Callithrix jacchus: one gene and its partners. The protein of the gene in region 6 purifies or fractionates together with the protein of the main gene of each other region. This does not show direct contact. Links are inferred from orthologs where the notes say so. Each region holds a gene or a part of one and is shown on either strand. Other genes may lie near its edges. The genes, in order: PRKD1, ARHGEF6, PHLPP1, PHLPP2, LPAR2, NHERF2 and PLCB3.

Region 1 (3,500 bases), on a different chromosome or scaffold from region 6:
TACCCCAGCTTACCTGGCACCTGAGGTCTTAAGGAACAAAGGCTACAATCGGTCTCTAGATATGTGGTCTGTTGGAGTCATCATCTATGTAAGCCTAAGTGGCACATTCCCATTTAATGAAGATGAAGACATACATGACCAAATTCAGAATGCAGCTTTCATGTATCCACCAAATCCCTGGAAGGAAATCTCTCATGAAGGTAATACCTTCCATTCAAAAATGATAATGATCTAATCCTTATGTGTTTATGTTATTAATTTAAATGAATTTAATTGTAAGTTATTACTTGATAAATGCTCATTGTACAGTGTCTGCCAGAGTGGAGACACAAAGACACAAATTAATTGGGGTAGGACACATATACATAACAGAAATTAGGGATATATATATATATATATCCATATATTCATATATATATATATATTTCTTTATATATAGAAGTAAGTGAACAACCAGATAGAATGTATTTTGGTACATTTCCTTAGAACTTATAAATATTTATAACTTAATATAATGGTAATGATGAATTATTGTAAAGGCTTACTTACATGTGCCTAGTTCTTTGTTAAAAACTTTTAAATTATTATCAAGACAGGAATGTTATGACATTGATAATTGATATTTGAATGATCATATTACATGTATTAGTTTACTAAGTTCTTTGTCTACTGATGTTGTTTTTAGCATTAAAATATGTATATATTTTACATGGCCATTCCCCTGGAATTTTTAGGTTATTTCTCTGTGTTCAATATTATAACATCCTGATGTATTATTCCTATATTTATCTCTGATAGTTTCTTTAGAATAAATTACCTTGGTAATGTTGCATTGTTTAGAGCCATATTCTTACTAAGTATTTCATTCCTCTTAAATAAAACACAATTGTTTTAAAAGAAGTTACAGGGGCTTACAGGGCAGAGAAAGTGACTTATTCAGTACTTTGGAAAGGAGTTCCTCAGTTAACATTCATTGGAGTGTATTTAATTCTCATAAAAAATTTCATAAGATAGATGTTACTATTATGGCTATATTTCAAGTGAAAAAACTGAGCAAAAGCAATGACACCACTGCTCAAACTACAAAGCTAGTATATAGCAGGGGCACAATTCATACCCAGGTTGTCTGAACATACATCCTTTCACCACTAGCCCTACTTCTTTTCTAGTTTACAGGCAATATCTAGTTCTAGGTTCATTCTGTTTGTTTGAATATTCACCATGTGGAAAGGCTAGTACATTTGTAAACCTCACTTATGTGATGCCTGTTACTGCATATGTCGGTATAGAAATGGGAAAAGAGTATATGAACTGCCTAGGATAAATTAAGTTCTTAGACTGCTAATGGTATTAAATGCCAAGAGCTATCCATTATCAGAGTTTTAAGTTACCATTAGCAATAACCTTTAACATCCTCTAATTAGTTGCAAATCATAGGTAGATGGATATATCTTAAAGGAACCTGTGGCCCACAAAAGAACTATCATGTGTGCCAAAGGAATAATTAAATATTTGTCATAATTCAACAAAGATGAAAAGTAAAGTGTAATTATGTTTCTTTTCCAGGAGACAGAGTAGAGCGAATTATCAAATAACCTTGTGACCAGTACCCTTGATAGGAAACATTACATCTAAGTAGAGCTAACCATTATGCTTGATACTGCTAATCCAGAAATCCAGTAAAATAACTTGATCCTGTTATCAGAATGCAAATCTGCAGTATCACTGAAGCCAATCAGACACTTTCCTGTTGTACAGAAATTGGATGTTGGGAAATAATCTTTATGTTTTTAAACTTTTTTTTCTTGGAGTAGTGGAACAAATGATGTCCCTTTCTCTGCTTTTGTGAAAATTTGACTTACTAAGCAGCTATATAGCCTATTAAGACAAAACATATTCAGGCCAGAAATAAATGTTTATAAATTATGAACTTTTAATTATCACTAATAATAGACTCTGGAGGACTAGATATCAAAGGCTTAGGAAACAGTTTTTGGGAAATCACAATATACGTACTTGGTAGGTAATACAAAAGTAGAGGACAGAATATCAGACGTGCTTCAAAGAACTTGAATGTTAGTTGGGGAGATGAGTTATGTGACATTGGATAATATGATAATTTATTTCCTTGAATTGTTACTAGGTGGAAAATCAGGGCCTCTAAGTTCAGAGGAAAGAGAATCACCATGTACTTAACTAGTTAGAACTCTACTTTCAGAGGAGACAGAATTTAGGCCAGTCACTGAAGAAAGAAAAGAAAGAGACATAGCATTTTAGCAACAGGGAATTATGTAGGATAATTCAAAAGGCATTTATATTTGACTAGGATTTTACTTGGCTGTAGAAAGGTCTAAGCACTAAAAATTTCCTACCATTCAAATAAAGTGATATGGAGATCAACTCAGATGGGAGATAGAACCCTCACTTTTCCAAATGACTCAGTACCTCCTTATGGCTCACTCTTTCCTTGGAGGCACAGGCATTATACTGTTATGTGAACTAAAGCTCTGAATGGCAAAAAGAAAAAAAAGTTATTTAGCTGCTGATGTATGAACAGAACTCATGCTTGAATATAGAGAAAAGTTAGTTAAATTGCATCATAATATCAGTTAAGGTGTCATAAAAGTAGTTGCTGGCTCAGGTTCTATTCCATTATCTTATTGAAAACAAATAATTCCATCATTAGAAGTTATAATGGAGTTGAGACCAAATAATTTTAATTTTAAGCTTGTAGGACCTGATAAACCAGCAAAACTATTAATAGTATCTGTCACAGGGTGGTCACAACTGATATTAGATCAATTTTTAGTCTCAGGATACTTTAAACCACACCAGAAACACTGAGAATTCAGATCCGAGGAAATAAAACTCCAAGTACCTCCATGATTCTGACAAAGATGAATGGTCAACAGTCAAGTAGTTTGAGACAGAGAGTCCTATCTGCCATTGTGAGTAGTCATCCCTTACCTTCTTTGGGCTTCATTTCCTCATCTGCAAAATGGGAAATGATTCCTGCCTACATAATGAGGTTCTAACAAAAACTGACTGAGGTAAAGGTTATGAAAGGCATCTATAAAGGCAGGTGGGGGGTGAGCCAAGAATTTGCATCAGGAGGAGGACAGCAGAACACTAAGCACTTGCCTGGCTGGTAACCAAAGATTGATGGTATCATTTTAGAAACAATGTGAAGGTTTCCTTGGTGTTCTTTGGACATATTGCTAGTTGTATTTTTTCCTGGCATGAAAAAGCAAAAGAAAGTGTTGTTATAAGGTAAGATCTTAATAATATGCATACATGTGTCAGAATTATAGATTCCTTTACTATGTGTTTTTTCTGTTAGTGTAGATGTTGACTTGATACAATATAATATCTCTACATTGGGGTGGTTGTGTAGCATTGTGCTGCTTGATTCGCACAACAATCCTCTGATAAGTGATTTGCTTTAGTCTCTGCATTAGAGAGAATAAAGAAAGGTTTCAAGACCTCGAAATCAAGGATTT
Region 2 (3,500 bases), on a different chromosome or scaffold from region 6:
TTTCTTTTAGGAAGGGGGCCAGGGAAAGGGAGGAAGGTTGATTATGGCACCTGGTTTGATTTATCGGGTGTTAGAATTGTCTTCCTTCTCCCAAAACATCTTCCTACACTCTGACACGTCTTTGGCAGAGATTCATTACTTTGGGTTAATAAGCAATCTCATTTAAAATGCAGATACCCCAGGGAAGGTTAATGTCGTGAGTCTAACTATTAGTCATTCACACCTTTGGGATAAACCTCTTGGGTGAAGGCAGGAGGAATCAGTGCTATAAAAAAATAAAAAGACAAGAAGGTAGAGAAGAAATTGGGGAGCATGAGTTGTAGAAATTCCATGAGGAGCATTTGAAAATGGCCAGTGTACCGACTGCTGCTGAAGGTTCAGAGGGCAAGGAGTGTGAGGACCAAGAGAAAGCCATTGGATATTGCTAGAAGGCAGTTATTGATGACTTTGCAAGAGCAGTGGGGGTGCAGTTAGGGATGGATCAATGGGGAGAAAATGAAGGCAGCAACTAATCTGGCAATAAAATGTCAAGAAATGGGAAACTACGCATAAATAGCCACATGGGGGTAAGCAAAGGTCTGTTAGGACAGGAGGTGTGTGTAAAGGAAAAGAGGAAAAGCTAGTAAAACAGGAGAGGATGCTGGGAGAAGAGGAGATGTCTGTAGAGGAAAACTAAGTGAGACAAAGATGTGAGAGAATGCGGAGCGCTTTTTAGAATAGTTAGCCTGGAACGGTTCCTCTTCTCAAATGGAAGGAAGGAGATGGAGACAGGCGTAATTGTAGCTAAGATGGCTGGGCATGTAAGCTAAATGTAATTTTTGAGTATACTAATTGCATATCTGTTGAAGGGGCTCTTCTCATGTGTAAAGGTTTCCTCAGTGCCCTTAAAAAAGTGTATCTACTTTTACATTTTACGTAAATCCAATAATTACCCTGTTCTTAATGACTAAAGCGAATTTTATGCATATGACTTTAACATATATTTTAGAGCATACTACATTTCTTATCACCTGAAAACCCCTTAATTTTGCCATTTTTTTCTAAATAAAATATATTTTCATTTTGTGAACCTGGAGACTTATTTTGTGCCTAGGACTAGCACATCTTGCTGGCTGCATAAACTGTGGTTTCTTCTCAGGCTTTCATACATGGAAAGCAAGCATGGTTCTTTGTATTTAACTGTTATATATAGGAAGAAGAGAGAGAACTGTGGGTTTATGTCCATTTCAAAGTAAAATTCAACTAGGTTTTTGTTTTCAAGTTGGATATCTTTTTTTTTAAAAAAATCACTTTTAATGTTTCTGTTGTTTATATAAGGTCTATGCTATAAGGCAGTGATTCCAGAAATTCTCAACAAATAAAATGTCCAGTTTTGTTCTTCAAATAATATTGTTCATTCTCTCTCAGGAAAAAGAGGAGCGGTACCTTATGTTATTTTCAAATGTCCTGATAATGTTATCTGCAAGTCCTCGGATGAGTGGCTTTATCTATCAGGTTAGTAGATTTCATATAAAACACACAGCAGACCCCCTAATGAAAACAGGTTTCCAACCAGATGCAGTATCTCCACTATGGCATTAAAAGCTCAAGCCAAGAGAACCAGAATGTTCTGACCGTTCATTTTAATTAAAAAGAGAGTCTAAGAGCAGATGTTCCTTAGATCAAAGATCTTTGTATTAGTGTAATGAGTTTATCTTGAATATATCCACCGCTTTAGTTATGCTCTGGGTTTTGAATGCATAAATGGAAACTAGATAAATTAGCAGCAGTATTGTACAGGCCCATGTCATTATTGCTGAGAAAACATAAAGCTGAGATCTGCTCCTATGCTTGTCTGATTATAGTCAGATCACATGATTCAGGCTTCTAAGAAGCATGTTATTAAACTCCTTAGGAAATTAAATGTCCCTCAGTCTGCTCCAAGATATAGAGTATTAAAAGTTACTATTGCCTGTTACATCTTGGCCTGGCAATTAATAATTTTCATAACATCTGAGCCTTCTCTTCTTTTTTAACTGTTTCTTATGAAAATGCTTTAGAAAAGTAAACTACTTTGTAAATCATGATCTTAACAGTTTAGGGTGTGTTAACCAAACACAATCCACATTTCCCCGTTGCTTTCTTGTCTGATTAAAATTTAGAGCAGGGAAACATATTATCCATTGACAGACTGGAGAAATACATCTAGCCATAATTTTGCAGTGCTGAGAGGGTCAGAAAATCTAACACTCTGAAATAAACAGAGACTCCTATAACTGCAGAATTAATGAGAATGTTCTTTTTCTAATAGGGAAAAATACCAATACCAGGAACAATGGTGGCTAGATTAGATGAAATTGAAGGGAATGACTGCACATTTGAAATCACTGGTAGGTAATTTTCTCTTTTTCATGTAACTACTTCCAATTCCTTTTGCAATGAAGGGGAATTTAATAAATAAATGCCGTCATTTTCTGTTACATAGGCCACGAGCAAGTTTTACATGGTCATGGCAAAGTATATTCCATTTCCTGGGATGATTAGGGTACAGCAATAGAACAGAGAAGTCTCTTCTCATTCAAAAGCCGTGGCTTTGCCATTAGTTTCAATCTTCTGTTGCATGAGAGCTACTTGTGAGAGCTAAGGAATAACAAAATGGAATAATGTAAATGTAATTTTCTCCCTTTCTGTCATTTGTTCCCTGGTGACAGAGAAGCCAAAGATATGGACTTTTATCAGCGATTTCATCATCAGCCCGAGTTAGCAAGATTTGGTTATGTTTCTAAAAAGTTCAGGAAAGCCATGAAACTATGTTCACAAATTGAGCACGATGCTGAGGCTTAATAATGCTCCCTGACATTTTAGCTTATGATCCCTTTTGCAAGGCCTGTGTCATTTATATGTAGTGGCCTCACTGTGGGTTCTGATACGGCACAGTGGCTAAGACTGGGATCATAGCCTTACTCTCTTCTTTCCCAAGAAGGATCCTAAGGTTTGGTGTTTGTCAAAAGATTGTAAACAGCCTTAGTTGGATCTTGTTCCAACTTTGATACTGGGAGAACCAGTACAATAGTCCCACTTTAGACTTAACTAGATGGACTACGTGCTTACATTTTTGGACTGTGAGTTTGTTTATAGTGAAGTTTTACACTACTTTTAAACTTCTGTAAGCAGTAAAAATCAAGGAGAGTTTTCTAAATCAGACACGAATATTTATTTACTTTATTATCACAGGTTATCTGTTTCTGATATAGAAGTTTCAACAGGGTTATCCCATAGGTGTGAAAACCCCTGAAAATACACACCCAAGTTCTAGTCGCGTGAAGTGTATTTCTGAATGGGACAAGCTCAAGTTTTTCCTTGTCTTTTGTTTTCAAATTGATCATAATTGGGGAATGTAGGTAACACAGTAGAGAGAATTGTGGTCCATTGCAACAACAACCAGGACTTCCAGGAATGGTTGGAGCAGCTGAACAGACTGATAAGAGGACCTGCCTCTTGCAGTTCATTATCCAAAACAT
Region 3 (3,500 bases), on a different chromosome or scaffold from region 6:
ACACAGTGAGCAGTTCTCAACTGGGGGCAGTTTGCTTCCCCACAAGACATTTTTCAACATAGGGAGACATTTTTGGTCATCACAGCTGGAGCGGAGAGTGCACTTGGCATGCCATGGACAGAGGCCACTGAGCACCTGCTGCTGCTAAACACCCCGTAGGGCAGTCCCCACAGCGGATGGGGGTGTGTGTGTGTTTGAGGGTGTGTCTCAGGTAGAGAAGTAAAACCTCACTGTTAAATGTTAAGCAATGCAGACAAAAGCGAGGAACAGGAGAGGCACAGAAAACAGGAGAAGTCTGACGTGCAAACTATGATTCATTCAGGTCACAGAAATCATTTACCTTAATTGTGCTTGGCATAATGTTGATCTGAAGTTTAATTCAGTGCATTGTCTTCTGCTCCCTAACACAGTGCCTACTGTCCATGTTAATCCTTTCTGCTCTGAGAACAGACAGAGAACAAATTCACACACTCACTTGCACAGAATCCCATGTATAGCTTGAGTCTGTTTCTTTCTTATGGCCCTCATCAGAGCCTGTGTGGAATCAGTCTTTTTTCTCTACTGACTATAAACTTTCACCAGAGTCAAACTGCACATGATTCTATGGGTTTTATCAACAATATAAGACTAGAAACTTCTTGAAGGTAATGTGTATCTGCAGGTCACTGCTGTCTGCCCACGTCATTTTCTTCAGGAAAAGGCCAGATGACCGACGCTTTGCTGAATTAGGGAATGCAAGCAGCACTCCTGGAGCCCATGTTGGAAGCTTCACTGTCATGAGTCACAAAATATCGGTTTTGATGGAGAGAAATCTAAAGGCGTGGGCAGAACAGCAAGAACAGTTTCTGCTAAATTCCATGCTTTGGGGACAGATTATGTCCATAGAATCAAGGCAGTTTCTAAAGTTGTCCTCGAAGCTCATACTACTAATTTTACCAATGGGAATGCTTACCTGCTTAAAAGTGTGAAAAGCAGAGGAAAGGGAACGAAGGGAAAGAAGGGAAGGAGAGGAAAGGGAAAGAAGGGAAGGAAAGGAGAGCAAAGGAAAGGAGAGGAAAGGGAAAAAAGGGAAGGAGGAACCAGGTCTGGCGCTTTGGTAACTGATTTCATAACATGCACCCAGCTAAACTAAAGCCAGTAGAGCTTACCTTCTCCATTGACCACCAGGAAATCAAGTTCAAGGAAATTGTAAGAACTGGCATTTCCTTTAGCATCTGCTCTCCTGACGTGAGCATTCTTACCCACCTAGTCACACCAAGGCTTTCTCCACCCCTTAAGTACTTTTGAGTCCTCTCTGGACCTTCAGACACTAGTGCCACTTGTGATCATGGAGAGCAACGGAAGATTCAGGGGCACGGTCTTGATGTATGCCGGCCTCGTGTGTCTTCTATCAGAAAGGCTCTCCCATCTCAGAGTCCTGTGGGTTTACAGGAGGAGCTAGCCAGCCATGCTTGCTGTGTAAGGCTAGATGATGGCTTGCTGTAGAGAAACAGCGGGACTTGTGACCTAATGGGAACAGGGTCCCAGTAACACATAACCGAAATCTTTTCCTTTTGTCCCTACTGCTCCTTACCTGCCAAGGCCTGCTACCTGGGGTTTCAGATGACAGGTGCACATTAACTACTCACTTCCCTTTGTAGACCACACAGCACTTCTCTGTGGTCTGACAGTCGGGGACCTGCAGGGAAGATGCACAGTTGCTGCAGGTGCTCCGTATTAACTGTCTGTCTGCAAACCCTTGTTCTTTCAGGATGGCAAGGTGAACGGAGTGACTGAGTCCACGCGAATCCTGGGCTACACCTTCCTCCACCCCAGCGTGGTGCCTCGCCCCCACGTGCAGTCCGTGCTCCTGACCCCCCAGGATGAGTTCTTCATCCTAGGCAGTAAAGGGTTGTGGGACAGCCTATCTGTCGAGGAGGCCGTGGAGGCCGTGCGCAATGTGCCCGACGCCCTGGCTGCTGCCAAGAAGCTGTGCACCCTGGCCCAGAGCTACGGCTGCCACGACAGCATCAGCGCTGTGGTGGTGCAGCTCAGTGTCACCGAGGACAGCTTCTGCTGCTGCGAGCTCAGTGCCGGTGGGGCCGTGCCACCACCCAGCCCCGGCATCTTCCCTTCCTCGGTGAACATGGTGATCAAGGATCGGCCCTCAGACGGGCTGGGTGTGCCGTCCTCCAGCAGCGGCATGGCTTCTGAGATCAGTAGTGAGCTCTCCACTTCCGAGATGAGCAGCGAGGTGGGGTCCACGGCCTCCGACGAGCCCCCACCCGGAGCCCTCAGCGAGAACAGCCCCGCCTACCCCAGTGAGCAGCGCTGCATGCTCCACCCTGTCTGTCTGTCCAACTCCTTCCAGCGCCAGCTGTCCAGCGCTACATTCTCTAGCGCCTTCTCCGACAACGGCCTTGACAGTGACGATGAGGAGCCCATCGAGGGCGTCTTCACCAACGGCAGCCGGGTGGAGGTGGAGGTGGACATTCACTGCAGCCGGGCCAAGGAGAAGGAGAAGCAGCACCTGCTTCAGGTGCCAGCCGAGGCCAGTGATGAGGGCATTGTCATCAGCGCCAATGAGGATGAGCCGGGTCTGCCCAAGAAGGCAGACTTCTCTGCCGTTGGGACCATCGGGCGTCGGAGGGCCAATGGCTCTGTTGCGCCTCAGGAAAGGAGCCACAATGTGATAGAGGTGGCTGCAGACGCCCCTCTTCGAAAGCCGGGAGGCTATTTTGCTGCCCCAGCTCAGCCGGATCCCGATGATCAGTTTATCATACCCCCAGAGCTGGAAGAGGAGGTCAAAGAAATCATGAAGCATCACCAGGAGCAGCAGCAGCAGCCACCGCCACCGCCACCGCCACTGCAGCCACAGCTGCCACGGCACTACCAGCTGGACCAGCTGCCAGACTATTACGACACGCCACTATGACCCAGCCGAGCTATTTAACAAATAAACTAACCACAAAAGACGAGTTACGAGAGTCTCCCAGGCTCACATTAAACCAGGGGTTTTACTCCACGTCCTTCCCCCAGACACTGTTCCCAACCTGTCATTGCAGCTAATCTGTAGGTTCTCTTTCTTTGGGTTATTTTTTTTAAATAATCACCACTTCTAGTGATGCTTTACCAATACGATTTACATTTGTTAACTTCTCCCCCTAACATATCAGATATGTAAAGACAAAGAACAGAAGGTTTAATATATTACAGAGAACAGTTAATGATAATGTAATATTTTTAAAAATGGCTTTTTGTTTTGTTTGGAAGGCAGGACAGGCTGCCATTGCTAAATGATTTAATATTGTAATTCTGTATTTCTTTGGGGGGGAAAGGCTTTTTTTTTTTTTTTTTTTTTTGTCTTGAAAATAATAGACATTTGTAGAATATGGAGACTAACTCCTAGGAGTTGCTTTACTCTGTCAGGTGACTTAAGTCACTGGGATTCACTAATTTTCTCTGAGAGAACAGCTGATTGAGAATTTCTATTGTAAATAGCTCAGTGTTGTATAGTGAGG
Region 4 (3,500 bases), on a different chromosome or scaffold from region 6:
TTAGTGACCTTTCTGAGTTTTGGCCTCTCTGAGAATACTAGTGATAGAGAATTAATGATAGTTCTGCTTAATTGTTTTTCTATCGTGTTTCTCTATTTATAAACATACTGAAGTCTGTTCTTCATGTTCAAGCAAACATCTTTTGGGATGGTGTTGCCTTTTAGTCACTTATTTTTACTTGGCTCTATAATAACCATATAGTATTTTGTCTTTTAAGACTTATCTACATTTATTCTTATGTGTTCACTTAAAATTATACTTACCTGTAGAAAAAAATCATATATAAATTGTTTTATTGTATATCCCTAAGCAGTGTGATCTAGAAAGATATAAAGTTGCTTGTCATTGTTGCTTGTTTCTCAAATCTGTATCCTGCTCTTCTGTAGGACAACAAAGTGAATGGGGTAACCTGCTGTACCCGGATGCTGGGCTGTACATACCTCTACCCTTGGATCCTCCCCAGGCCCCACATATCTTCCACTCCACTGACCATTCAAGATGAGTTGCTGATTCTGGGAAACAAAGCGTTGTGGGAACACTTGTCCTACACAGAAGCTGTCAGTGCTGTACGTCATGTACAGGACCCATTAGCAGCTGCTAAGAAGCTGTGCACATTAGCACAGAGCTATGGCTGTCAGGACAACGTAGGGGCAATGGTGATTTATTTGAATATTGGTGAGGAAGGCTGTACTTGTGAAATGAATGGGCTCACCCTCCCAGGTCCTGTGGGGTTTGCTTCAACCACCACCATCAAGGATGCCCCTAAGCCAGCCACTCCTTCCTCTAGCAGTGGGATTGCCTCTGAGTTCAGCAGTGAGATGTCCACCTCAGAGGTGAGCAGTGAAGTGGGGTCCACTGCTTCTGATGAGCATAATGCTGGGGGCCTGGATGCTGCCTTGCTTCCGAGGCCAGAGCGGCGCTGTAGCCTCCACCCAACACCAACCTCTGGGCTGTTTCAGCGCCAGCCTTCTTGTGCCACCTTCTCCAGTAACCAGTCTGACAATGGCCTGGACAGTGATGATGACCAGCCTGTTGAGGGAGTCATAACAAATGGCAGCAAGGTAGAGGTGGAAGTAGACATTCACTGCTGCAGGGGCCGGGATCTAGAGAGCTCACCCCCTCTCACAGAGAGTGCTTCTACCCCATGTTCTGAGGAACGTGCTAGAGGGTCGTGCTTTGGGATCCGAAGACAGAACAGTGTGAATAGTGGCATCCTCCTGCCAATGAGCAAGGACAGGATGGAGTTACAGAAGTCTCCCTCCACCTCCTGCCTCTATGGGAAGAAGCTCTCCAATGGTTCTATTGTGCCCCTAGAGGACAGCCTGAACCTCATTGAAGTGGCCACAGAAGCACCCAAGAGGAAAACTGGCTATTTTGCTGCCCCCACTCAGATGGAACCAGAGGACCAGTTTGTTGTACCTCGCGACCTGGAAGAAGAAGTGAAGGAACAAATGAAACAGCACCAGGACAGCCGGCTTGAGCCTGAGCCGTATGAAGAGGATCGGACCGAACCCCCAGAGGAGTTTGACACAGCGCTATGACTGCTCTGCTGGGCACAGTGTGGGAGGAGGCTGTGCAGGGTTGGGGTAGGGTCCTGCTAGAGGCATTCCGCCTCTACATTTCTCTCTCTCTCTCTTTTGTGTGTCTGTGTGTATGTGTTTTGAGATGGAGTATTGCTCAGTTGCCCAGGCTGGAGTGCAATGGCACAATCTCGGCTCACTACAACCTCCGCTACTGGGTTCAAGCCATTCTCTTGTCTCAGCCTCCTGAGTAGCTGGGATTCCAGGCACTCGCCACTATGCCTGGCTAATTTCTTTTCTTTTCTTTTCTTTTTTTTTTGTATTTTTTTTTAGAGACGGGGTTTCACCGTGTTGGCCAGGCTAGTCTTGAACTCCTGACCTCAGGTGATCCGACCATCTCAGCCTCCCAAAGTGCTGGGATTACAGGCATGAGCCAGTGTGCCCGGCCCTGCCTCTACATTTCTAACCATAGCTGTGTGGGATTGAACTCAGAGCCAGAAAGGGTGAGAGCCATCAGGGGCTGGCTCTGGGTAAACTAGTAGCCACTATCAGTGTTAAGTTTCACATTTAACCTGCATTGGAACTCCCAGGGGTACTGGGAAGAAAGCAGCTGTTCTGTATCAGTCCTACCACCTGCCATTAACCCTTTCTCTCCTAGGATCACTTTGAGAATTTGCCTGCCTGGGCAGGAAAGGGACTATTTCTGTGGAGGAAAAAAGTGAAGATTGATTCTCTTTACTAGTTGCTGCTGATGGATCTCTGTGACAGAGAAATCACCTTATCTCAGACTAATGAGGTGTGATGTGACTAGTCACATGGGTTTTCATTCTTCTCTACGAGAATACAGCCTATCAAAATGATGTCTGTTGGAAATGTAGAACCAATCAAACAGATACTTTATGTATGTAATACAATGAGAGCACTTTGCATTGACTGTGAACTTTTTATTTTTGAATCTGCACTAGAGCCAATCTTAGAGGCAGCCCGGCACCTTCATCCTAGGCAGAGAGAGAATTGGGTGTTGGAGCCTTATCCAAGGGTACTAGGAAGGGCCCTGGGAAGTTGACTTAACTGGTAGATGTCAGACTGTGAACGCTCCTGAGAACCTTGGGGTAGCAGGATCTTCTCTTGGGGCTGAAAAGGGGGAAGGAGGGAGGACCAAGACTACTTCTCCCTAGATCAGAGAAAGAGAATTACTCCTTGACAAATATGACACCTGCTACGAATTTCCCAGGGAAACTTAGGGATTGGCCTCTTTCCTAACATGTGGAGGAGTTGGCAGACAGCCTCCTAATGGGGAGGGCCAAGGCTAACACTGCTTGCGTCCAGGTGACCTTAAGTTACGGCAGATGACACTGAAATGGATTGAGGCCAATGAGAACAGATGGATGGAGTACTCAGGTTAGACTTGTTTCTTCTCCTATGCTGGAGGAGAGGGATTGTTTTCTAGAATGTTAGAAGTGAGTTGAGAGCCCACCTCTTGAATGTTGAACAGTGTACTCTTCTGAAAACTGCATATTCAGTTTATGTGGTTTCAGAATACTGGGCTCAATACCAACATAAGAAAGACACTTCATTGAGAAATTCTTAAGCTTACAGAAAACCTGTATTTTTTGCACATTCCACTTAACTGTAGCAAAATTCAGTTTCTTCCATATTTTTGTCACTTTTTCCATTGTAAGATTTACTTAGGAAAATCAATTCCTATTTATTCCCCAAAATTTTGGCATTGCTTGATTTTACCCAGTGGGGAATGTGCTTTGAATTTTTGGAACACTTTCACAATTAAAAATAGAGTAGAGCCATTTTTAATTTGTTTCATGAGAAACAATATGTTAAAGAGAGGGTTAAATATAAATATGTTTTCATGTGTGTGTTTTTTGAAGTTTTTGTTAAAAGCAATAGTCAAAAGCTAGATGACCTGTCCATAATAATCACGTGTCTTCATCTTCTCAGAGGCCCCATGCCCAGATGCACGTG
Region 5 (4,118 bases), on a different chromosome or scaffold from region 6:
ACACCTGCCTGCCTCCTCCCACTCCAAGTGACCTTGGAGGAGATGGGCAGCTCAGACTCCACATTCTGGTGGTGCCTGGGGTCTGATGGCCTCTAATAAACTGTGTCCTGGATGCCCTTGGGTGCGTCTCTGCCAGGGGAGAGGCCAGTGTAGACAGCACTCCTTGCCCCTTATTTACCAATCAGGGGAATCCAGGCCTCCTTTTTTGTTTATTGAGATGGATGGAGTCTCACTCTGGCCAGGCTGGAGTGCCAGTGGCATGATCTCGGCTCACTGTAACCTCTGCCGCCCAAGTTCAAGTGATTCTCCTGCCTCAGCCTCCTTAGTAGCTGGGACGACAGGCGTGTGCCACCAGGCCTAGCTAAATTTTTGTATTTTTAGTATTGACTGGTTTCACCCTGTTGGCCTGGATGGTCTCAATCTGATCCGCCTGCCTCGGCCTTCCAAAGTGCTGGGATTACAGGAGTGAGCCACTGCGCTCAGCCTCAAGGCCTCATTCTCACATCGTCAAACAGGCTGGTGCACCTACCTAAAGGCATCTGGAGCTGGGCCACAGCACCCGGCTGAGTCACACCGGCCCGGCCCTCCCGGAGCTCTGCGTCCCCGATCCGGTCCTGCATAACTAAATACAGTATAACAAAGTGCAGATAACCGGGACAATGGGGCTGTGTGCTCCAGACCGTGGGAGCCCTGGGCCGCTGCAGGGGGGCCGAGGGAGGAAGCCGCAGGGCAGGGCAGGGCCGGGCTGTGCAGGGGGCAGCGCCGTCCCAGCGTGGGGGAGTGCGGGGGCGGGATTGCAAAACCCTAACTTGCCCAGGATCAGCTGGGGCCACAGAGATGGGCCCTGCACGGGAGGCCGCGGCGTCCGGTAGCTGCAAGCTGGGAAAGCCGAGGCTGGGCGGGGGTCCGGGCAGTGGGAGCCGAGTCGGATCAGGGAGTGGCTAGTAACTCGGCGGCTGATTGGACACGAAGAAGAGCTCGGGGTGGGGCTGCGAGGGTTGGGGTCCGGACCCGGGGCGCGGACCCTAGACCACCTAGAACTACACCCGGTCGGCGCGAGGTCACGGTGGGAATTCTCGGGTCGCCCGAATGACTCAGCCCCGCAGACTCGAAACTGCGGGCGCGTGAGGTGTGCAAGAACCCGGGTTGGGGGTCCCCGCCGGAAATAGAGAGGGGCGACCGAGGGGCCGCGAGGAGGAAACTGGAGGGTTGCGGTTCCGGGCGACTCCGCCCCCGACGCGGCCGCGGAGGCGGGGCTTCCCCAGGTGGCGGGGCGGGGCTCCCCAGGTGGCCGGGGCGGGGCGCCGGGGGAGACCCCGCCTCCTGTGCCCTCTCTGCAGCCCGCGCCGGGCGTACCCGGACGCTCCTCCGCTCCCGCCGAGGTTACCGGGCCATGGGCCTGGAACCCTCCCCAACCCCCCGCGAGCCTGCCTCGTCTGCAGCGTGACGGGTGGCCCAGGTGAGGCCGGCACGGACTGGAGGCGGGCGGGTGCGGGCCTGGGCCCGGGGGTAGGGCGCGGCACGTGCCTGCGGGGCCAGGACGCCGCCCCCTGATCCCTTTCCCCCTACCCCTTCCCCAGCCTGGAGACGCCTGGAGGCCCGGCCAGCCGTCCCTTCCCCAACCGCTGTCTTTGTCCCAGAGACCGCCAATGTCCTCCGTCCCACCCGGAACAGCCCAGTGCCCCGCCCGTTTGGGAAGCACTCGCGCCCAAATCCCGTCGCGCAACTTCTGGGGCCGCCTCTCTGCCCACTCCGATCACCTCCACATCTCGGCACCGCCCCCTCGCAGGGTCTTAGCAAGTGACCTCACCCTTGTGCGCACACGCCACGGGGTCTCTGCTCCCTACACTCACTCCGGCACCAAAGTGACCCTTCCTCATCTCGTCCCGCAGCTCACACCCCTTTGTCTTGCCCTAACCCTCCTCTCCCCACAACCCAAACCGGATCACACAGTGGCGGCAGGTGAGTTGGGATTGGACCACGGATGGGTTTTGTTTCGCTGCTTCTGGTTAAAAAACCCATTGACTTCTGTGATGTCGTGCACACAGGTCTTATTAGTAGATAAGAAACAGCTGCTCGTCAACCCCCACCTGAGCCCCAAGGAGCTTGCGTTTTCCAGGCCACCCTGGTCCTCACCACTGCCACTTTGCTCCAAGGCATCTGAATTTGAGACCCTTCCCATTCCTGTGCTGACCCTCTTCTGCAGCTACCACCCCTCCCTGTGCCCTTCCAAGAAGCCCACATGCACTGATCTCTGTGTGTCCCCAGATGGTCACCATGGGCCAGTGCTACTACAACGAGACCATTGGCTTCTTCTATAACAACAGTGGCAAGGAGCTCAGCTCCCACTGGCGGCCCAAGGATATAGTCGTGGTGGCACTGGGGCTGACTGTCAGCGTGCTGGTGCTGCTGACCAACCTGCTGGTCATAGCAGCCATCACCTCCAACCGCCGCTTCCACCAGCCTATCTACTACCTGCTGGGCAACCTGGCCGCGGCTGACCTCTTCGCAGGCGTGGCCTACCTCTTCCTCATGTTCCACACTGGCCCCCGCACAGCCCGACTTTCCCTTGAGGGCTGGTTCCTACGGCAGGGCTTGCTGGACACAAGCCTCACGGCCTCGGTGGCCACACTGCTGGCCATCGCGGTGGAGCGGCACCGCAGCGTGATGGCCGTGCAGCTGCATAGCCGCCTGCCTCGTGGCCGCGTCGTCATGCTCATTGTGGGCGTGTGGATGGCTGCCCTGGGCCTGGGGCTGCTACCCGCCCACTCCTGGCACTGCCTCTGTGCCCTGGACCGCTGCTCCCGCATGGCACCCCTGCTCAGCCGCTCCTATTTGGCCGTCTGGGCTCTGTCGAGCCTGCTTGTCTTCCTGCTCATGGTGGCTGTCTACACCCGCATTTTCTTCTATGTGCGGCGGCGAGTGCAGCGAATGGCGGAGCATGTCAGCTGCCACCCCCGATACCGAGAGACCACGCTCAGCCTGGTTAAGACTGTTGTCATCATCCTGGGTGAGTGGGACCCTGCTTCCCCCTATTTCCCACAAGACACTATGAAGCAACAAGCAAAGCAAGCTGCCTGATAGAGGGTGATGGGTGGCTGACTTAGGTGGGGAATGTTCTTTAGGGAGGTGATCTGTGAGCAGAGGCCTGAATGCTGAGGATAGGAACAGAGAGTTCCAGGCAGAGGGGACACAAAGTAAAAACTTCAAGGCAGTACCAAGCCAGAGCCTCTAAGAGGAAAGCTGACTTGTGAGGAGGGTTCAGCAAGGCCTTAAGGGGCACCGACAGGAGTAATATTTTATTTTGAGTTTTGTGGGAAGCCCTTAAGCGTTTTTAGCAATGTTAAGCCTGGTTTAACAAAAAGCCTTTAAATTATTTTTTAATCTATACATATTTTTTCATTTCAATTTTTTTTTTCCAGGGTGAGTAGGGAAGAACATTTCAATTTTTTTTTAAGAGATAGGGTCTTGGCCAGGCGTGGTGGCTCACACCTATAATCCCAGCACTTTGGGAGGCCGAGGTGGGTGGATCACGAGGTCAAGAGATCGAGACCATCCTGGTCAACAAGGTGAAACCCCGTCTCTACTAAAAATACAAAAATTAGCTGGGCATGGTGGTGCGCACCTGTAGTCCCAGCAACTCAGGAGGTCGAGGCAGGAGAATTGCTTGAACCCAGGAGTCTGAGGATGCGGTGAGCCGAGATTATGCCACTGCACTCCAGTCTGGGTAAGAACAGTGAAACTCTGTCTCAAAAAAAAAAAAAAAAAAGAGAAAGAGAGATAGGGTCTTACTCTGTTGCCCAGGCTAGATTACAGTGGCTCCATCATAGCTCACTGCAGCCTCAACCTTCTGAGCTCAGGCGATCCACCTGCCTCAGCCTCCTGAGTAGCTGGGACTACAGGCATGCACCACTATACCTGGCTCATTTTCTTTTTTGTTTGTTTTTATTTTTTAGAGACAGGGTCTAGCTATGTTGCCCAGGCTGGAGCGCAGTGGCTATTCACCAGCGGGATCCCACTACTGATCAGCACGGGAGTTTTGACCTGCTCTGTTTCCAAACTGGGCTGGTTCACCCCTCCTTAGGCAACCTGGAGGTCCCCCGCTCCCGGGAGGTGAC
Region 6 (3,500 bases):
TGCCTGGCATCGCAGGACCCTACTGACAATGAGGAGGGTTTAGGCTCGATGACAGGCAGAACTTCTTGCCTTGTAGAGTTAAAGACACAGAGGGGTGGCCAGAATGACTCCGAGAACATGGAGGGGGCTTTGGCCTGGCCTCAGGGCCCCAGATGCCCCACCAGATCCTGCTTCCTGTCTGGTGCCTTGAGAAAGCCTGCCCGGCAGTCCTCTGTGCAGGTGTGGGAAGGGCTGCGGGGCCAGCACTGCGGGGCCAGTCACATGTGTGGGTGGCTATGCGTATTCCCAGGTGTATTTGGGTGTCTCGTGTCTGTGACCCTGTGACGTGTGTCTGCAGCCTGGCCCGTGTCACGCTCCCACCTCCCCTCCCAAATTGCGCTCCTGTCCCCACACCTTCCCTCTGTGTCAGGCCAGCCTTGGGGGCTGAGCTCTGATGCATCCCTGAGGGGCACCTCCGTGGGCAGGTGTCAGGGTCAGCCTTAAAGCCCCACGCCTGTGCTACCAGGTGTGTCTGGAGGAAGGGCGGGTTTGTGTGGTGGGGCCCTGAAGATTTTGGGGGTCTTGTACCCTCCAACCCATGTAGCCCAGCTGAGCCCCCTGGGGACTGAGGAGCCCCAGCCTTGTCCCTGGAGTTCCTGGTGTGATGGGCTGGGTGGCAGCCATGCAGAAAGGCTTCAGGTGGGCAGGAGGCTCCACAAGAGGTGTCTGGCAGGCAGGACAGGAGGAGGGTGTTCCAGACCAGGGGCAGGGCTTGAGCCGAGGGTACGGGGCACTGGCCTTTCGGGGAAGGACCCCTGTGCGCCCTTGGTGGGGCGGCACCTGACCCCCCCCGCCACTAGCATGGCTGTTCCCAGTCCACTGGGGTTTGGAGTGAGCCTGAAGGTGGGTGGCTGGAGGGGTCAGGGGTATGTGAGGCCCGGAGACCTGCCTTCCTGAGGTCTGAGTGCCCTTCCCGCCGTGCTAGCCTGGCCCTGGCTTGGCCTCAGATCCCTCAGGAACACACAGGGTGGTAGGAGGTGAGGGATGGGCCCGGGCGGCCCCCCACCCTGCCCGCACACTCTCCCCTGCACACACCCTCAAGCCTGGCACTCCCTGGAAACCTGAGCTGTCGCCCGCCTGCTCCAGCCACCGCCATGTTTATCTGAGCACAGGCAGCCGCTGGCCACTGCCACCTTGCCTGCCCCGGCCCAGCCCCTGGTTGGGGGGATCACTGGGCCTGGCCCCTGCCTGCACGGTCCCCTGGCCCAGAGCCCCACTGCAGGATGCCAGAGGTAACATGGGGCAGGGCCCTGGGATGGTATCGTGGTCCCTCAGGGGATCAGTAGGCGCTCTGTGCCCTGTCCACTCTAAGCTCCGGCCCCAGCCCCTGCTTGCTGGGCCCATGGGGGTGGGGCGGCTCATTTTCCCGGAATGTGAAAGCAAACAGAGCCGCCACCGCAGCTAGCCACGGAGGACTCTGGAGACAAAACAAAACTGCTGGCCTAGGAGCGCCTCACCCACGCTCTGGAGGCGAGCCTGGGGCAGGGGGACACACAGGCAGGGCCCTTGGGGACAGCCACCTAGGAGGCCGATGGTGACAGTTCGTCCCACCTGGCACTTCCTCCCACCCCGCCTGTGCACCGCACTGGCCTTGAGCCCAGAGAATTCTCTCAGCAACCTGGGAAAGCTGCTGGGCCCATCGGGGAGGCTCCTGGGTTTAGAAATAGGCTTTGCGAAAGTTCCCACAGCTAGAGCTCCGTCACAGGCAGCCTGGACACCCAGAGCCTTTGCCCCCGAGACCTGGGCCTGCCTGTGGGGGGGCATGGTACTGAATTTGGGCAGGGGCAGCTCCACCTGAGAGTAACCTCTCAGGGCAGGAGGCTGGAGCCAAGAGACTGATCCTGTTTCTCGGGCCTGCAGGATGTCAGTGGGCCCCTGAGGGAGCTTCGCCCTCGGCTCTGCCACCTGCGAAAGGGACCTCAGGGCTATGGGTTCAACCTGCACAGTGACAAGTCCCGGCCCGGCCAGTACATCCGCTCTGTGGACCCGGGCTCCCCTGCTGCTCACTCTGGCCTCCGCGCCCAGGACCGGCTCATTGAGGTACCGGCCCACCGGGACTGCAGGGTGCTGGGTACCCCATGCCCGTCCACATCGGGCCCCTCGGTCCCTGCAGGGAGGAAGGAGATGCCGGGAACCTGAGCTGGCGTGCTTCCTGCTGCCTTGGCGGGCGGTGCTTGTGATGAATATTTGATGCCACACCTGGCCACGTAGTGTGGGGGGCTGTCTGGGTCCACTTCGGGGCTGACATGTGCTGGTGGTGGCAGGTGAATGGGCAGAATGTGGAGGGGCTGCGCCATTCCGAGGTCGTGGCCAGCATCAAGGCCCGGGAGGATGAGGCCCGGCTGCTGGTGGTGGACCCAGAGACAGACGAACACTTCAAACGGCTTCGGGTCACCCCCACCGAGGAGCATGTGGAAGGTGGGCCACGGCCCGGGGAACAGGGCGGGCACAGTGTGGTGGCCGAGCAGCCACTGACACGCTGTCACCACCCACAGGTCCTCTGCCAACACCCATCACCAACGGGACCAGCCCTGCCCAGGTGAGTGGATGGGGTGCCATGAGACACGGTGCCTCTGGGGTACTCAGGCCGACAGAGGCCCCCTTCTCCCTGGAGATCCCTGTCCTTGAGGAGGTGTGGTAGTGACACCCAATTCTGGCCCTGTCACCTGTCTTTAATGGCCCTGTGGATCTAGTCCTGGGTCAGTGCCACACCTAAGCTACATGGGGCACCTGGGGTTGGGGCCGCTGCCTTTCCTCCCCTCCTGGGCAGCACCTGGTAAGGAGTTGGTAAGCTGTCCAGTCTCTGCCTCCTAAGGGAGCTGGCGGTGGCCTCACCGCAGGCATCGGGCATGCTGGCTGTTCCTGTGCCCACTCCCTCTGCACCATGAGCTGGCCAGGACACCCGTCTGTTACTGCCAGGCACGGGTTCCCAGTGCCTGCCCCGCCGCAGCTGGAGTGCACCTGAGGCCCGAGGCCACAGCCGAGTGGAGGAGCACACACAGCTGTGGGGCGTGTGCATGTGTACGTGTGTGTGCGTGTGCAGGCACTGCGTCTGTCTGTGAACCAGCGGCTCCCTGGGCGGGAGCCCTGAAGCCACAACCTGTCCTTGCTTTCCCAGCTCAATGGTGGCTCTGCGTGCTCTTCCCGGAGTGACCTGCCTGGTTCAGACAAGGACGCTGAGGTATGGATGTCCTTCTCCACCACTCCTGAGCTCACACTCGGTGCCAGAGACCTCGGGGTGGGTATCTGTGGAGGTATCAGCCAGGCAGAGGGGTCTGTGCCTCCAGGATGCCCTTGAGAGCCCACTGCCTCAGCCCCAGCAGGCGGCCTCTGGTGGTTGGTCCCTGGGAGGGGCTACCATCTGGGGTGTGGGACTAGGGCTCACTGCAGGCACCCCACCCACCATGCCCACCCCAGGATGGCAGTGCTTGGAAGCGAGACCCCTTCCAGGAGAGTGGCCT
Region 7 (3,500 bases), on a different chromosome or scaffold from region 6:
CAGACTCCTGCCCTGCCCGTGGGGGTGGAGCCCAGCTGCAGGCTGACCTCTCCCACGGCTGCCCAGACAGGAAGTGCTCAGGCCAGGAGCTAAGGCTGGGGCTGTGGCCAGGGGCTGGCCCCACCCTGGCCTGGGTGGGGAGCTTGGAGGCTCCTGGCTGTGGACCTACAGCTTCTCATACCCAGCCTGGCATCTGGTTCCCCCCAGGAGGTAGACACACTGGACATCAGTTCCATCAGGGACACACGGACGGGCCGGTACGCCCGCCTGCCCAAGGTGAGTGATGGAGCCCAGGACTGAAGACCACAGTGAGGTTGTGAGGCCCGGGAACCCCTCCTCACCCTTGGCTCTCACCGACTCAGGACCCCAAGATCCGGGAAGTTCTGGGCTTTGGGGGTCCCGATGCCCGGCTGGAGGAGAAGCTGATGACGGTGGTGTCTGGGCCAGACCCCGTAAACACAGTGTTCTTGAACTTCATGGCCGTGCAGGACGACACAGCCAAGGTGGGCCGGCACCGAGGGGTTGAGGGAGGAGTCACTGCCTTACTCTCTGAGGCGGCTGTCACTTACTGACACCTGCTGTTTCTAGGCTGCTCTGTGACCTACTGTGTCCCAGAGCCAGTTGCGGGCCTGGGCTGTGGCTGGGCAGCCCCTCTGCACCCCACTCACTGCCTCCCTGCGTATACTGGCCCCCAGGTCTGGTCCGAGGAGCTGTTCAAGCTGGCGATGAACATCCTGGCTCAGAACGCCTCCCGGAACACCTTCCTGCGCAAAGCGTGAGCCCCAGGCCACCCGAAGGGGATCTGGGGGGTTCACGTGGCTGTTTTCAGGGTGTGACCCCTTTACCTACCTCCCCAGATACACGAAGCTGAAGCTGCAGGTGAACCAGGATGGTCGGATCCCCGTCAAGAAGTGAGCACCCCTTCCCCAAACACCTTCCTCCTGCCCTGACCTTGGTGACCCTTGCCCCTCACTGACCCTGCACCGCCCCCACCGCCGACCCTGTACCCCTGCTGCCCGCATCAGCATCCTGAAGATGTTCTCAGCTGACAAGAAGCGAGTGGAGACTGCGCTGGAATCCTGTGGCCTCAACTTCAACCGGGTGTGTGAAATAGGGGTAGGGGCAGGTGGGGTGTCATGGTGGGTACCCACCCTTCCAGGGCTGGCTGCCCCTGGGTTCTCACCCCACACTCCTTGGCCCCCAGAGTGAGTCCATCCGGCCCGATGAGTTTTCCTTGGAAATCTTTGAGCGGTTCCTGAACAAGCTGTGTCTGCGGCCGGACATTGACAAGATCCTGCTGGAGATGTGAGCAGGGCCTGCCTCCCAGCTCCCATGCTCGTCTGTGGCTTCTGCTTAGCGCGCCTCTAGCTCAGTGGGGAGAAGGGGAGCTGGTGGGCTGGGTCCTGGAGCGCCGGGGTGGGCCCGGGGAGGACCTGTCGGTGTGTCCCTGCTCAAAGCCACCGTTTGTGTCCCTCAGTTAGTTACAGGTGCTCTGGGCTGATCACGTGGCAGAGGTGTTTAATCAGCCCACTCTGCGATGGGAAGCAAGGCTCAGGCGTCCTGTGAGATCTGGAAGCGAGGGGTGGTGGGCCGAGCACTGGGCAGCTCCCAAGCTCTGGCCATTGCCAGTGCCCACTGGTCTGCTGCCTTGCCAATGCTGAGTAGTCAGAAGAGTGAAGGGAGAAACTGTGGCCCAGAGCGGGCTGTGACTCACCCAGAGTCCCACTCACTGGGTGCCAGATCCAGGGGCAAGCCTTCTGACTCCCTTGCCCAGGGCCCGGGCTTGTCGAGCGGATGGGAGCCTGGTGAGGCTCCAGCCTGACCTGGCTTCCTGCCCCCTCCAGAGGTGCCAAGGGCAAGCCGTACCTGACGCTGGAGCAGCTCATGGACTTCATCAACCAGAAGCAACGCGACCCGAGACTCAACGAAGTGCTGTACCCACCCCTGCGGCCCTCCCAAGCCCGGCTGCTCATTGAGAAGTATGAGCCCAACAAGCAGTTTCTGGAGCGAGGTGAGCTGGCCAGGGTGCAGGTGGGCGGGGCAGGCGGGGCCCAGCTGACCCTGCTGACCCCCTCCGACCCCAGACCAGATGTCCATGGAGGGCTTTAGCCGCTATCTGGGAGGTGAGGAGAACGGCATCCTGCCCCTGGAAGCCCTGGATCTGAGCGCAGACATGACCCAGCCGCTGAGTGCCTACTTCATCAACTCCTCGCATAACACCTATCTCACTGGTGAGCAGGGCGGGCTGGTGCCCGTGACCTCCGCTCGTGGCATGGCCCACTCCTGAGGCACCGTTCTTTCATCTCATTTGCTTGTTAATTGGCCGGTGCTGGGGATGCAGGCAGGGAACAGGTAGCCGGCCCTGGGCAGTGGGGCCTCTCTGCGGCAGCATGCCTCATGGTGGCTTCCCCAGGGAAAGGCTGAGGCCTGGAACGGCCTGTGTTAAGGCCTGGAGCAGGAGACTGAGGGTTTTTTTTTTTCTTGTTTTGAGAACGAGTTTCGCTCTTGTTGCCCCAGCGGGAGTGCAATAGTGCGATCTCAGCTTACCGCAACCTCCGCCTCCCGGGTTCCAGTGGTTCTCCTGCCTCAGCCTCCCGAGTAGCTGGGATTATAGGCATGTGCCACCACGCCTGGCTAATTTTGTATTTTTAGTAGAGATGGGGTTTCTCCATGTGGGTCAGGCTGGTCTCGAACCTCAGGTGATCCACCTGCCTTGGCCTCCCAAAATGCTGGGATTACAGGCGTGAGCTCTTGCCATGCCTAGCCGGCAAGGTGCTTTCAAGAGGCTGGAATGGGGATGGGTGTAGTGGCTCATGCCTGTAATCCAGAACTTTGGGAGCATAAGGCAGGCAGATCCCTTGAGCCCGGGTTTTGAGACCAGCCTGGGCAACACAGTATGACCCCATCTCTACAAATAATTTTTTAAAAATTAGCTGGGTGTGGTGGTGCATGCCTGTGGTTCCAGCTGCTTGAGAGGCTGAGGTGGGAGTGTCCCTTGGTTCTGGGAAGGTTGAGGCAGCAGTGAGCTATGATTGTGCCACTGCACTCCAGCCTGGGTGACAGAGTGAGACCCTTTCCCCCCAAAAAAAGTGAAAAAAATAAAAGCAGAGCTGGGTGAAGTGGCTCACGCCTGTAATCCTAGCACTTTGGGAGGCTGAGGTGGGTGGGTCACATGAGGTCAGGAGTTCAAGACCAGCCTGGCCATCATGGTGAAACCCCATCTTTATTAAAAAAAAAAAAAAAAAAAAAAAAAAAAAGCAGAAAGGAAGCTGGGGAGTCAGGATGCAGAGTGGGCTGGGGATAGGTTCCTGGTGTGAGAGGGAGAACAAGGCAGGGCAAGACCCAGGGCCCGGAGGCACTTGTATTCACCCTGAGTGGAGGGAGCGGCTTTTTGGAGGGTGAAGCAGAAGAGGTGACATGACCCCATGATATATTTTTAGAAAGATGATGCCAGGTGCTCTATAGAGATTGGATTGAGGCTGGGTGCAGTGGCTCACGCC

Evidence for each region.
Region 1: the proteins of NHERF2 (region 6) and PRKD1 purify together in Homo sapiens (affinity purification with mass spectrometry; 3 studies listed by BioGRID and IntAct, with this or other methods). This does not show direct contact. The link is inferred for Callithrix jacchus from reciprocal best matches to the Homo sapiens genes NHERF2 and PRKD1.
Region 2: the proteins of NHERF2 (region 6) and ARHGEF6 purify together in Homo sapiens (affinity purification with mass spectrometry; 3 studies listed by BioGRID and IntAct, with this or other methods). This does not show direct contact. The link is inferred for Callithrix jacchus from reciprocal best matches to the Homo sapiens genes NHERF2 and ARHGEF6.
Region 3: the proteins of NHERF2 (region 6) and PHLPP1 purify together in Homo sapiens (affinity purification with mass spectrometry; 3 studies listed by BioGRID and IntAct, with this or other methods). This does not show direct contact. The link is inferred for Callithrix jacchus from reciprocal best matches to the Homo sapiens genes NHERF2 and PHLPP1.
Region 4: the proteins of NHERF2 (region 6) and PHLPP2 purify together in Homo sapiens (affinity purification with mass spectrometry; 3 studies listed by BioGRID and IntAct, with this or other methods). This does not show direct contact. The link is inferred for Callithrix jacchus from reciprocal best matches to the Homo sapiens genes NHERF2 and PHLPP2.
Region 5: the proteins of NHERF2 (region 6) and LPAR2 purify together in Homo sapiens (affinity purification with western blotting; 3 studies listed by BioGRID and IntAct, with this or other methods). This does not show direct contact. The link is inferred for Callithrix jacchus from reciprocal best matches to the Homo sapiens genes NHERF2 and LPAR2.
Region 7: the proteins of NHERF2 (region 6) and PLCB3 purify together in Homo sapiens (co-immunoprecipitation; 3 studies listed by BioGRID and IntAct, with this or other methods). This does not show direct contact. The link is inferred for Callithrix jacchus from reciprocal best matches to the Homo sapiens genes NHERF2 and PLCB3.

Annotation. Positions count from the first base shown.
Region 1 is NC_133509.1:63,838,468-63,841,967, reverse strand, and holds part of PRKD1 (serine/threonine-protein kinase D1), read left to right. Parts: coding exon 1-200; intron 201-3,500.
Region 2 is NC_133524.1:133,481,096-133,484,595, reverse strand, and holds part of ARHGEF6 (rho guanine nucleotide exchange factor 6), read left to right. Parts: intron 1-1,407; coding exon 1,408-1,494; intron 1,495-2,290; coding exon 2,291-2,369; intron 2,370-3,380; coding exon 3,381-3,500. UniProt on the Homo sapiens protein: Acts as a RAC1 guanine nucleotide exchange factor (GEF).
Region 3 is NC_133514.1:105,930,218-105,933,717, forward strand, and holds part of PHLPP1 (PH domain leucine-rich repeat-containing protein phosphatase 1), read left to right. Parts: intron 1-1,750; coding exon 1,751-2,914; 3' UTR 2,915-3,500. UniProt on the Homo sapiens protein: Protein phosphatase involved in regulation of Akt and PKC signaling.
Region 4 is NC_133521.1:30,256,504-30,260,003, forward strand, and holds part of PHLPP2 (PH domain leucine-rich repeat-containing protein phosphatase 2), read left to right. Parts: intron 1-386; coding exon 387-1,541; 3' UTR 1,542-3,500. UniProt on the Homo sapiens protein: Protein phosphatase involved in regulation of Akt and PKC signaling.
Region 5 is NC_133523.1:18,319,776-18,323,893, reverse strand, and holds the start of LPAR2 (lysophosphatidic acid receptor 2), read left to right. Parts: upstream 1-1,318; 5' UTR 1,319-1,459; intron 1,460-1,575; exon of another isoform or gene 1,576-1,962; intron 1,963-2,048; 5' UTR 2,049-2,268; coding exon 2,269-3,010; intron 3,011-4,118. UniProt on the Homo sapiens protein: Receptor for lysophosphatidic acid (LPA), a mediator of diverse cellular activities. Seems to be coupled to the G(i)/G(o), G(12)/G(13), and G(q) families of heteromeric G proteins. Plays a key role in phospholipase C-beta (PLC-beta) signaling pathway.
Region 6 is NC_133513.1:4,719,474-4,722,973, reverse strand, and holds part of NHERF2 (Na(+)/H(+) exchange regulatory cofactor NHE-RF2), read left to right. Parts: intron 1-1,899; coding exon 1,900-2,079; intron 2,080-2,303; coding exon 2,304-2,457; intron 2,458-2,534; coding exon 2,535-2,578; intron 2,579-3,157; coding exon 3,158-3,220; intron 3,221-3,456; coding exon 3,457-3,500.
Region 7 is NC_133511.1:121,312,176-121,315,675, forward strand, and holds part of PLCB3 (1-phosphatidylinositol 4,5-bisphosphate phosphodiesterase beta-3), read left to right. Parts: intron 1-207; coding exon 208-276; intron 277-362; coding exon 363-503; intron 504-695; coding exon 696-775; intron 776-857; coding exon 858-911; intron 912-1,025; coding exon 1,026-1,101; intron 1,102-1,204; coding exon 1,205-1,305; intron 1,306-1,844; coding exon 1,845-2,011; intron 2,012-2,084; coding exon 2,085-2,231; intron 2,232-3,500. UniProt on the Homo sapiens protein: Catalyzes the production of the second messenger molecules diacylglycerol (DAG) and inositol 1,4,5-trisphosphate (IP3).